Arabidopsis thaliana: one gene and its partner. The protein of the gene in region 1 interacts with the protein of each later gene in a pairwise test. Each region holds a gene or a part of one and is shown in the gene's direction. Other genes may lie near its edges.

Region 1 (5,279 bases):
CAGTAGGGCTCCGGGAAGTGGTGGTTAAGGGCGTTGGATGGGTGCCTGGAGATGGGTGCACAATAAGGTTCTGGTTGGATCGCTGGCTGTTGCAGGAGCCGTTGGTGGAGCTTGGGACTGATATGATACCGGAGGGGGAGAGAATAAAGGTGGCAGCCGATTATTGGTTGCCGGGATCAGGTTGGAACCTGGAAATTCTGGGTTTGTATCTGCCAGAGACAGTTAAGAGGCGGTTGCTCTCGGTTGTGGTTCAGGTTTTTCTGGGTAATGGAGACGAGATATCATGGAAGGGTACACAGGATGGGGCCTTCACAGTCCGCTCTGCGTATTCCCTCCTACAAGGTGACGTTGGAGACAGGCCGAATATGGGGAGCTTCTTTAACAGAATCTGGAAGCTGATCACGCCTGAGAGAGTACGGGTGTTTATTTGGTTGGTGAGCCAGAATGTGATCATGACTAATGTGGAGAGAGTCCGGCGCCATTTGAGTGAGAATGCTATATGTTCGGTGTGTAATGGAGCCGAGGAAACAATACTCCATGTGTTGCGTGACTGCCCCGCTATGGAACCGATTTGGCGTCGGTTGCTGCCACTGAGACGACATCATGAGTTTTTTAGCCAGTCTTTATTGGAGTGGTTATTTACAAATATGGATCCAGTAAAGGGGATTTGGCCTACTCTTTTTGGTATGGGAATTTGGTGGGCTTGGAAGTGGAGGTGTTGTGATGTGTTTGGGGAACGAAAGATTTGTCGGGACAGGCTGAAGTTCATCAAAGACATGGCGGAGGAGGTGAGGAGAGTACATGTTGGTGCTGTTGGTAACCGGCCTAATGGTGTGCGGGTGGAAAGAATGATCAGGTGGCAGGTTCCAAGCGATGGGTGGGTGAAAATTACCACGGATGGAGCGTCCCGTGGGAATCACGGGCTGGCTGCGGCAGGAGGGGCCATCCGGAATGGGCAGGGGGAGTGGCTAGGTGGTTTTGCACTAAACATTGGATCTTGTGCAGCGCCATTAGCCGAGTTATGGGGCGCCTACTATGGGCTGCTCATTGCGTGGGACAAGGGGTTTCGACGAGTGGAGTTAGACTTGGATTGCAAGTTGGTGGTGGGTTTTTTAAGCACAGGGGTAAGCAACGCTCATCCGCTGTCCTTCCTGGTACGGTTGTGCCAAGGCTTCTTTACGAGGGACTGGTTAGTCCGTGTGTCACACGTGTATAGGGAAGCTAACCGTCTCGCTGACGGGTTAGCAAACTATGCCTTTACCTTGCCGCTAGGGCTTCATTGTTTTGATGCATGCCCAGAGGGAGTCCGTTTACTTTTGCTCGCAGATGTTAATGGAACAGAGTTCCCTCGAGCTGTTTTATTGTAATTTTTTGTAGTTTGTTCTTAATAAATTGGGGTAGGCAATTGCCACCCCTCAGCTTACCAAAAAAAAAAATCATACTAGAGTCAAATTATTCCATTGTCGACTTTGATTAGCATGTAATCCTAAGCCGACCAATGTGTGTGTATGTTGTGTGAAACATATGCTTTTCAAGTTTTAATTAATTAGTGAAGGAGGATTTGACATTAACCAAACAAAATATTACAAATTGGTGTAACTAAGATATGATATATGTTCATTTATTGATGTTTTTCAATTTTCCTATATTCCTTATTATATGATATATATAGTTATGTATGTTTCAAGAATTCGATATGGCACGCATGATTGAAGAATAATGATTGAGGAATTTTTCTGTAACAAAAAAATTTGAAATAAACAAATATGTGGCTAAGAACTTAACAAGGACACATGTTGATATGTGAAATAGGAATCTTATAATAAGGAACAAAAGGTTGAAAGCAAAAGGGTATTTATTTAGTTTACTTTCCTATTCTGAACCCTTAACTTCTGCTATCCTTTCCACCAACAATCTAATAGTATACTCTCTCTCTTTTTTTTCCTCTTCTTCTTCTTGTCCTTCGATTTTAGACCAACTAAACATATCAATATATTAAAGTAGCATCTCTCTCTCTCTCTCTCTCTCTCTCTCGCTCTTTTATTTTTAATATCAATTTTGTTGTCCAAATTCTCATCTCTTTGGGAAAACCCTAGACTAAAGATTCCAATCTCTTTTCTTCTAAATATTTCTTCATTTTTTCCCTTTTTTGATTTGGGTATGTTGGGTCATTGAATCTTGTGACTGCCATGGCAGATCTTTTGGGGATCTGCATAGAAGAGTTGCTTCTTGTAGCAGCTTTCAGGTAGCTGTGTCCAGCCTGCATCAGATGTTATTAACTCACTACACACCAAACACCACAATAACAACAAAACGGCAAGCATTTTGAAGAGGTAAACAAAGCAAGTGGGCAACAAAAACGGCACGCAAGTTTTTCTTCCAAGTTAAAACAACTCTTGGAATGTCATTTTGAAAGGTAAAAAAATAATGGGACTTAAAGGATATAGCGTCGGAGAAGGAGGAGGAGAGATAGTTGAGGTTCAAGGCGGTCACATAATCCGAGCCACTGGACGCAAAGACCGTCATAGCAAAGTGTTCACATCAAAGGGTCCACGTGACCGGCGCGTGAGACTCTCAGCTCACACGGCGATTCAATTCTACGATGTGCAAGACCGGTTAGGTTATGACCGGCCTAGCAAAGCCGTTGATTGGCTCATCAAGAAAGCCAAAACCGCTATTGATAAGCTTGAACTCGGGGAGACTACTACTACTACTACTCGTCAAGAACCGGTGAATACTAAACCGGAATCTCCCACTTTGGTTTTCCAAAGAGAGAACAATGACCAAACGCAGTTCGTGGCGGCCAATCTTGATCCTGAAGACGCAATGAAAACGTTTTTCCCGGCGACGACAACAACAAACGGTGGTGGTGGTACAAACATCAATTTCCAAAACTACCCTCATCAGGATGACAACAACATGGTCTCAAGAACAACAACACCACCACCAAACCTTAGCCAAGATCTTGGTCTCTCTCTTCACCCATTTCAAGGGAACAACAACACAGTCGTAGTTCCCGAGACCAACAATTTCACCACGACTCATTTCGACACGTTCGGGAGAATCTCTGGATGGAATCATCACGACTTAACTATGACGTCATCATCCTCATCAGAACATCAACAACAAGAACAAGAAGAAAGGAGTAATGGTGGTTTCATGGTGAATCATCATCCTCACCATCATCATCATCAACCGTCGATGATGACATTGCTTAATAGTCAGCAACAACAAGTGTTTCTTGGTGGCCAACAACAACAACAACAAAGGGGTACCCTTCAGTCCAGTTTATTCCCTCATTCGTTTCGTTCTTGGGATCATCATCAAACGACGTCGGATCATCATCATCATCAGAATCAAGCTTCTTCGATGTTTGCTTCATCATCACAGTATGGTTCTCATGGGATGATGATGATGCAAGGCCTTAGTTTCCCCAACACTACAAGACTACTCCACGGAGAAGAAGCTACTCAACCAAACTCTTCTTCTTCTCCTCCAAACTCACACCTCTAAACTAAGGTTTGCTTCTTCTTTTTAATGTATTTATATATTTTAAGTATAATAGGTTATTAATCAAGAAACCAGACAATAATTAAATCTTTCATAATTAAATTACCACATGTATTTCTTTCAGACAACCATGGAGGTTCAAATTCATGATGACATGCATTGAACAAGAAGGAGGAAATTAATGTGATGAATGGAGCTAGAGTAAGCGCTATATTAATTAGTATTACCATCTATCCATATATTTATGATTCAAGACTATTATTACTCATTTAGTGTTTGTTATTATTATTCAATTTTGCTTGTTTGTTTCTTATCATCTTTGCATTGATCATCAAGATTGTGATATTTGAAAAGATGGGTTTTATGTGTGTTTTGGTTTAGTACTGGCGTTAGGCTGGGATATTGTAATCTCATATTTTTGTTCTACGAGTGAGTTTGAATTTTCTGGTTTTTACTTGCGGTTTCTATTTCTTCGGTTAAGTAAAGAGTAATTGAAGAACGTTAAAAGCATAGGTCGTATTACATGAGTAATGAAGAAAAAGGTGTTCATTATCATCTGTGCAGATACCAATTTTCTTTTGTAATATAGCTTAGCTTGCTAAAAAGTTGCGACTATTTAATAGAAAAGTCAAATTTATTACAAATTTGGGATTTTTATGAAAAAGTTGCTATTGAGTATTCAATGCTTTGTGACAGTGATACCAAAGGATCTCGATAGTTTAGTCTGCTTTACTTGGTCTAATTGGGTTTGACAGAAGATTTTTCTATAATTCATCTTGAAATAATTGTTTTAGTCATATAGATAGGCGGGCTATATAGAGAATGACATTTATCACTTTTTGGCACTTTTACATATAGTATATATATATGTACATATATTTGGTTTGATGAAATACATGATAATATATTTAGGTTAAAGGAGTTTGTACTTTGTTGTCACATGATGATCATTAATATTTTTCCCAACGATGATCATCATTTTTATACAAGACGTTAAAAGCTACAGAATGTTCGTACTTTTAAAAGTCATCTACTGCGAGAATGACTACTTTGGCCTTTTGATTATGGATTGTGCTTGGATTATTAGAAGAGTTCAACAAAAGGATTACAACTTCCATCTACAGTTTTGTTACAAAAGGATTGTACTATATGTAAGTGTAACCCAACAAACCTAAACCAACAGACAGGAATGCGGTAGAGCAAACCGGTACAATCAAAATCAAACACCCTTCATAAAACTATATCGGATACGCCAAACAATATGAAAATATATGTCTCTGTGTTTAGTTTTTTTCGTGAAAATAAGATTCCGAGCAATATGAAGAGCTAAAGTGTTGTCACTGTAGAGTACACAGAGAGAGCATAAGAAGCATGCTTTATATATTTACATAATATAAAACCAAAATATATATTTACATAATATAGGCAATCCAAACATGTTCACAAATTCCAAGAGCCATAACTTTGTATTTAGCTTTGATAGACAATGAAATGGATGAATTTTCATTGAACATAAAATCCAAGATACATAGTACATACGAAATTGTGGATAACTTGCCTAGTCATAAGCAGTGAAACCTCAAATATATAGGTCTAGAGCAGCAAAGTAAAAACAAGCTTTGTCCAATGCTTCCTTTAAGAAACAAACAATCTTATGAACTATATGTCCCTTGGTGCATATGAGAATTGACCTTGTTTACCACCAAAAGAAACATTATCAGACAACATCTCGAAGATGTAACTTGCGTTGACAAACATAATGGTTTTTT
Region 2 (5,049 bases), on another chromosome or scaffold:
AACAAAGTCGAGACGTTTCAGTTCCTCCTTGAAAGAAAAAAACGATTCTCATGATAAAGAATCTGGATTAGTTGGACACGTGTCCTGGTATAGTTGGCTAACAGTGAGCCGTTTCTTTTGGTCCGTCCGTTAGATTCCTTGTGGTCTTTATTGTTTATAGGTCCTAGGCATTTTACATGCTACTGTGTTTCGGAATATCTTTTTGTTAGAGGAATCAAATGTTATTTTGAAAAAATTGAATGCTATTTTAAAATTGAAAGAAATTTGTATTTGGCTAGCAGGAAAAAGCATGGAATAAAGTAGCTTTGCGTACTGGGATCTTTTACATTGGATTATGCGAAAGATCCTTTTTTCTCATTTTGCTAGAGAATTCTTGAGTTTTATTTCATATAATAATATTAAGTATAATTCACCTTTTGAACGATATAAGTTTTGATTAGTAAAAAAAATGGATGAGTAGTGGAATAATTTGCAAGAAATAATGGTGCTACATAAGAATGATCAACCTAGTTTCTTGAAAAGAATATCAACACTGAAATGAACAAAAATATTCATAATACGATAACCAAAACCAACTAAACCATGAAAAGGGCACTTATAAACACAAAGGTTACGTGATTTCTTGAAACTAATGCTCACCGTGAATGTAAATGGACGTTGCGTGTGGTAAAAATAAAGAAAAGACAAAGAGATCTTTTGACCACTTCACTCTTTTAAAATCACATACGTATGTGTCGATTTCTAATACAGCTAGTAGCTTGTGTTAGCAAAATTTAGTATAATTTTTTTCCGGGTAAAATGTTTAGTATAATTTTTTAGTAAAATTTAGCAAAATTTAGTATAATTTTTCTATTCGAAAAGATAAACTAAAGCGAATATGTCCTATACTAGTAAAGATTAATTATTTATACGGCTCTACTAATTTAGTCTAGTTATATGATAGTAGTACAAACTGAAGTACGAATTTATGTATCGTACTACTTGCATAAACGTACATGTGGTTTTGCCTATCTAAGAACATCGTTTAATTAAACCCGATTGTATAGTTTGAATGTTTTATCGGTTTTTAAACGAGTGGTTCGAATTCCATGAAACCGAGATTTCAGTATAGCTCTGTGTTTGAGATACAATAACAAATACATGAATCCATAGCCCATAGGCCATACACGGTTATGCCCATTCGGTATTGTTGGTCTAGCAAAGTTATTTCTGACGATGTGCTACATGTACTATGTGGTACATACCTTTTTTATATTCAACATTTAATCTCATATCATGTTGACTATAAATGTATAACTTTCAAGCTCATAACATTTAGGTTATAAAAAGTCAATATTTGTTGTAGTCTAAATCTTCTTTATTTCAAACGTAATTTTTTACTCCAAAAAAGTGTAACTTATCTACTTTTAATTGTTAAAGTAGGAAAATAAAATTTGATTTTTCTTTAAAAAAGTAGAAAATTGTTAATTTTGTACAAATAAATTTGATCTTTCTTAGTTATAGTTTGATTTTGTTAATTCCTTATTTTTAATTTTTTATCCAATAATTGAGTTGCTTTATTTTATTTTTAGTCTTTCAACAGATTCTTTTTATATTATCTTTAATAAATATTTTAGTGGGATATTTCACAGCCTGAACCACTCCATATGCAGAAAATAGTGTTTGTAAAATATTATAGATTCTTCAGAATCCTCTTTTTAAGACTAATTTGGGAAAATATTAAATACAGGATAACAGGAATATGAGAATCTTGAATGAGAAGAGCACTAAAAACAAAATAAATAACAAGTTTCCCAAAACTGAAAATTGTAATATAATTAATAGCCGAATTAAAAGGAAAAAAATCCTTAAAGAAAAATATAAAAAAAGAGAAGAATAAATATATATAAGTGAGTGTAACGATTCGCCGCGTGTGTACGGGCATCACAAAAAGATTCTTTCTTCCATTTAAAGATAAATCTAATTTTAATATTGACAAAAACACCCTCAAGTCTCCACTTATTTACAGCGGCTACGGTTCACCGCGTCCTTCTTCTTCTTCCCTAATCTCATTTTTTTTTTGTTCTCATTTATCTTCTTCAGCATCTTCATCATCTTCTTCTATATATACCTCTTTAAGCTTGCTTCTCTTTGTCTTTATCTTGTCCGATGGTTCAAACAGAAACCGATCAAAGGATGGGTCTTAATCTGAATTTGTCTATCTACTCTTTACCAAAACCCTTATCTCAATTTCTCGATGAAGTGTCGAGGATCAAAGACAATCATTCCAAACTGTCTGAAATCGATGGTTATGTCGGAAAATTAGAGGAAGAAAGGAACAAAATCGATGTTTTTAAACGAGAACTCCCTTTATGCATGCTCTTATTGAACGAAGGTATCTTTTATTAAAATTCTCTCCTTTTCTTTTTTTTATCTTCTCTAATCGATTCGTGTTTTTGTTTAAAGAGATTGTTTTTCTCTGTGTAGCGATTGGGGCGTTGAAGGATGAGGCTAGAAAAGGGTTATCACTGATGGCATCTAATGGGAAATTCGATGATGTTGAAAGGGCAAAACCGGAAACTGATAAGAAGAGCTGGATGAGCTCTGCCCAGTTATGGATCTCGAACCCTAATTCCCAATTCCGATCGGTACGATCAAAAAGCAACCCTTTTTATGTTTTGTGAAGAATCATATGTTGTGTGATTGATCTTGTTGACCTTATGATCATGTTTTGACAGACAAATGAAGAAGAAGAAGATCGGTGTGTGAGTCAGAACCCATTTCAGACATGTAATTACCCTAATCAAGGAGGGGTATTTATGCCATTTAACCGTCCCCCACCTCCTCCACCACCAGCTCCTCTGTCTCTCATGACTCCAACATCAGAGATGATGATGGATTATAGCAGAATTGAGCAGAGTCATCATCATCATCAATTCAATAAACCTTCTTCACAGAGTCATCACATTCAGAAGAAAGAGCAGAGAAGGAGATGGTCACAGGAACTTCACCGTAAATTTGTTGATGCTCTTCATAGGCTTGGAGGGCCACAAGGTTAGTCCTTAACCTTAGTAAAGGATCAAACTTTGCTTTAGATTTGATTGATTGATTATACTGAGATTGTTTTGTATTGTTGTTGTTGTTGTTGTTGTTGTTGTTGTGAGACAGTTGCTACACCAAAGCAGATTAGAGATTTGATGAAAGTTGATGGTTTAACCAATGATGAAGTCAAGAGCCATTTACAAGTAAAAGTTCTCATCTTTTACAGTAACTTAAACTTTGATGTGTGGATGAATGAATGATTTTGACAGTGCGGTGAAATGAAATTGTTATTGCAGAAATATAGAATGCATATCCGTAAGCATCCGCTGCATCCGACAAAGACTTTGTCATCGTCGGATCAGCCAGGTGTGTTAGAGAGAGAATCGCAGAGCTTAATAAGTTTGTCGAGGTCGGATTCGCCACAAAGCCCACTTGTTGCAAGAGGGTTGTTCAGTAGTAATGTTGGTCATAGCTCAGAGGAAGATGAGGAGGAGGAGGATGAAGAGGAGGAGAAGTCTGATGGACGTAGTAGCTGTAGAAATGATGAAACAAAGAAGAAGAGACAAGTGTTGGATCTTGAGCTTTGAAAGTCTGCATAGTGAATGATATAATCTTTACCAACTTATGTTATATATGCTCAAAACTTTGAGTTTGTTCGGGAGTTTTTGTAGATGTAAACATGAGAGTTGAAATAAGGAAGAGGATTTTGAGCAAAAAGTAGGGTTTGTTTTTGCAAGAGGAAATAGATAGAGAAGAGTGTTCGAAATCCTCTGTGTTTTTTTTTTTTTTTTTTTTTTACTTCATAAGTAAGATAAACTCATATATCAAAGATTTTGTTTTTATACTTATTACAGTCTCAACCATGTGAATGAAGGAGTCATTTGTTTAGTTTTACCAGCTCGTCATACTAATTACCTTTTACCTTCGAAAACAGAGGATGAAGAAACATCACAATCTTTGTCTCTTTCTGTAACTCATCGTTTTCTACAAATCTACGTAATCTGAGAGAATAAGTAAGGGGAAAAAAAATAAGAATCTTTTATTGCATAAAATCGTACGAAAAGATAAGATTTTTCGTCTGAAAAACGACAAGATTTATTTTCACTATTGAAGGAATTGACAATGTATATAGAAAAAATCTACTCACTGATTAGTGATTTGATGAATAGTTTACTTCCACGAGATTTGCATGTTTTGTGGATAAAGCTTCTTGCACCATGTAACATACATTAGCCAATAGTATAGGGTAGATATTTATCTTTTGACATAATTTTCTTCAAATTTGTTATTTTTATTCAAAAATTCAAATAGTTACTCTCTGCTTTTCACAATTAATGAGTGTATATACTAAAGACATTTAAGCGGCAATGGAATATTTGTTCAAATTGGTTCGGTCGATTCAGTTTCTAAACCCAACCGGTTTATTCACCCGGTTATTTCGAGTCAATTTATGTGGTTTTGTGGTCTCTGGGCCTCACGGGGCCGCCTCTCCGTCTTCATCAACATTCTCAAACTCTTTTACAAATCTAGGCTCGACGAGGGTTTAAGCAATCACCGGAGCTCTTAGTCTCTTACGCTGTGAGCTAAGAACCGACCTTTTGCTTAGTTTCTTTCAAGTCTCCAATCAAACAACCATGAGAGAAATTGTGACGATTCAAGTTGGAGAATTCGCAAACTTTGTTGGCTCTCACTTTTGGAATTTCCAGGTTAGAGAAGCAAAACCTCCTGTTGAACTCTCTGCTCCGATTCTTTTAACAATGGATTCTGGGTTTTGTCTGTCTCTGTTTTTCATTACAAAAGTGTTTGTCTTTTTTGCTATAAATCGATTGGGTTTGCTAAAGTTGAGAACTTTTACTTGAAATGTAGGATGAATTGCTCGGATTGGCTAGTGACCCTGAAAGCGATCCAATCTTTAGAAACCATAATCTCGACATGGATGTTCTCTACCGCTCCGGTGAGACCCAGCAGGTGAGAGATGATTGATATTTCGTTGACTTTGATCAATCTCACTTGTTTTTGCAAATCTCA

What was found. Proteins that work in one complex are often made in the same cells at the same time.
Region 2: the proteins of TCP10 (region 1) and AT4G37180 interact in binary tests that used the Arabidopsis thaliana proteins (3 or more experiments, as listed by UniProt).

The regions. Positions count from the first base shown.
Region 1 is NC_003071.7:13,219,218-13,224,496, reverse strand, and holds TCP10 (TCP domain protein 10), read left to right. Parts: upstream 1-1,887; 5' UTR 1,888-2,427; coding exon 2,428-3,513; 3' UTR 3,514-3,519; intron 3,520-3,634; 3' UTR 3,635-4,019; downstream 4,020-5,279. UniProt on the Arabidopsis thaliana protein: Plays a pivotal role in the control of morphogenesis of shoot organs by negatively regulating the expression of boundary-specific genes such as CUC genes, probably through the induction of miRNA (e.g. miR164). Participates in ovule development.
Region 2 is NC_003075.7:17,502,500-17,507,548, forward strand, and holds AT4G37180 (Homeodomain-like superfamily protein), read left to right. Parts: upstream 1-2,064; 5' UTR 2,065-2,148; coding exon 2,149-2,374; intron 2,375-2,445; coding exon 2,446-2,627; intron 2,628-2,717; coding exon 2,718-3,033; intron 3,034-3,147; coding exon 3,148-3,224; coding exon of another isoform or gene 3,225-3,281; exon of another isoform or gene 3,282-3,317; coding exon 3,318-3,608; 3' UTR 3,609-4,005; downstream 4,006-5,049. Other genes in the region: AT4G37190 (plasma membrane, autoregulation-binding site, misato segment II, myosin-like, tubulin/FtsZ protein), read left to right, coding at 4,656-4,727, 4,888-4,989.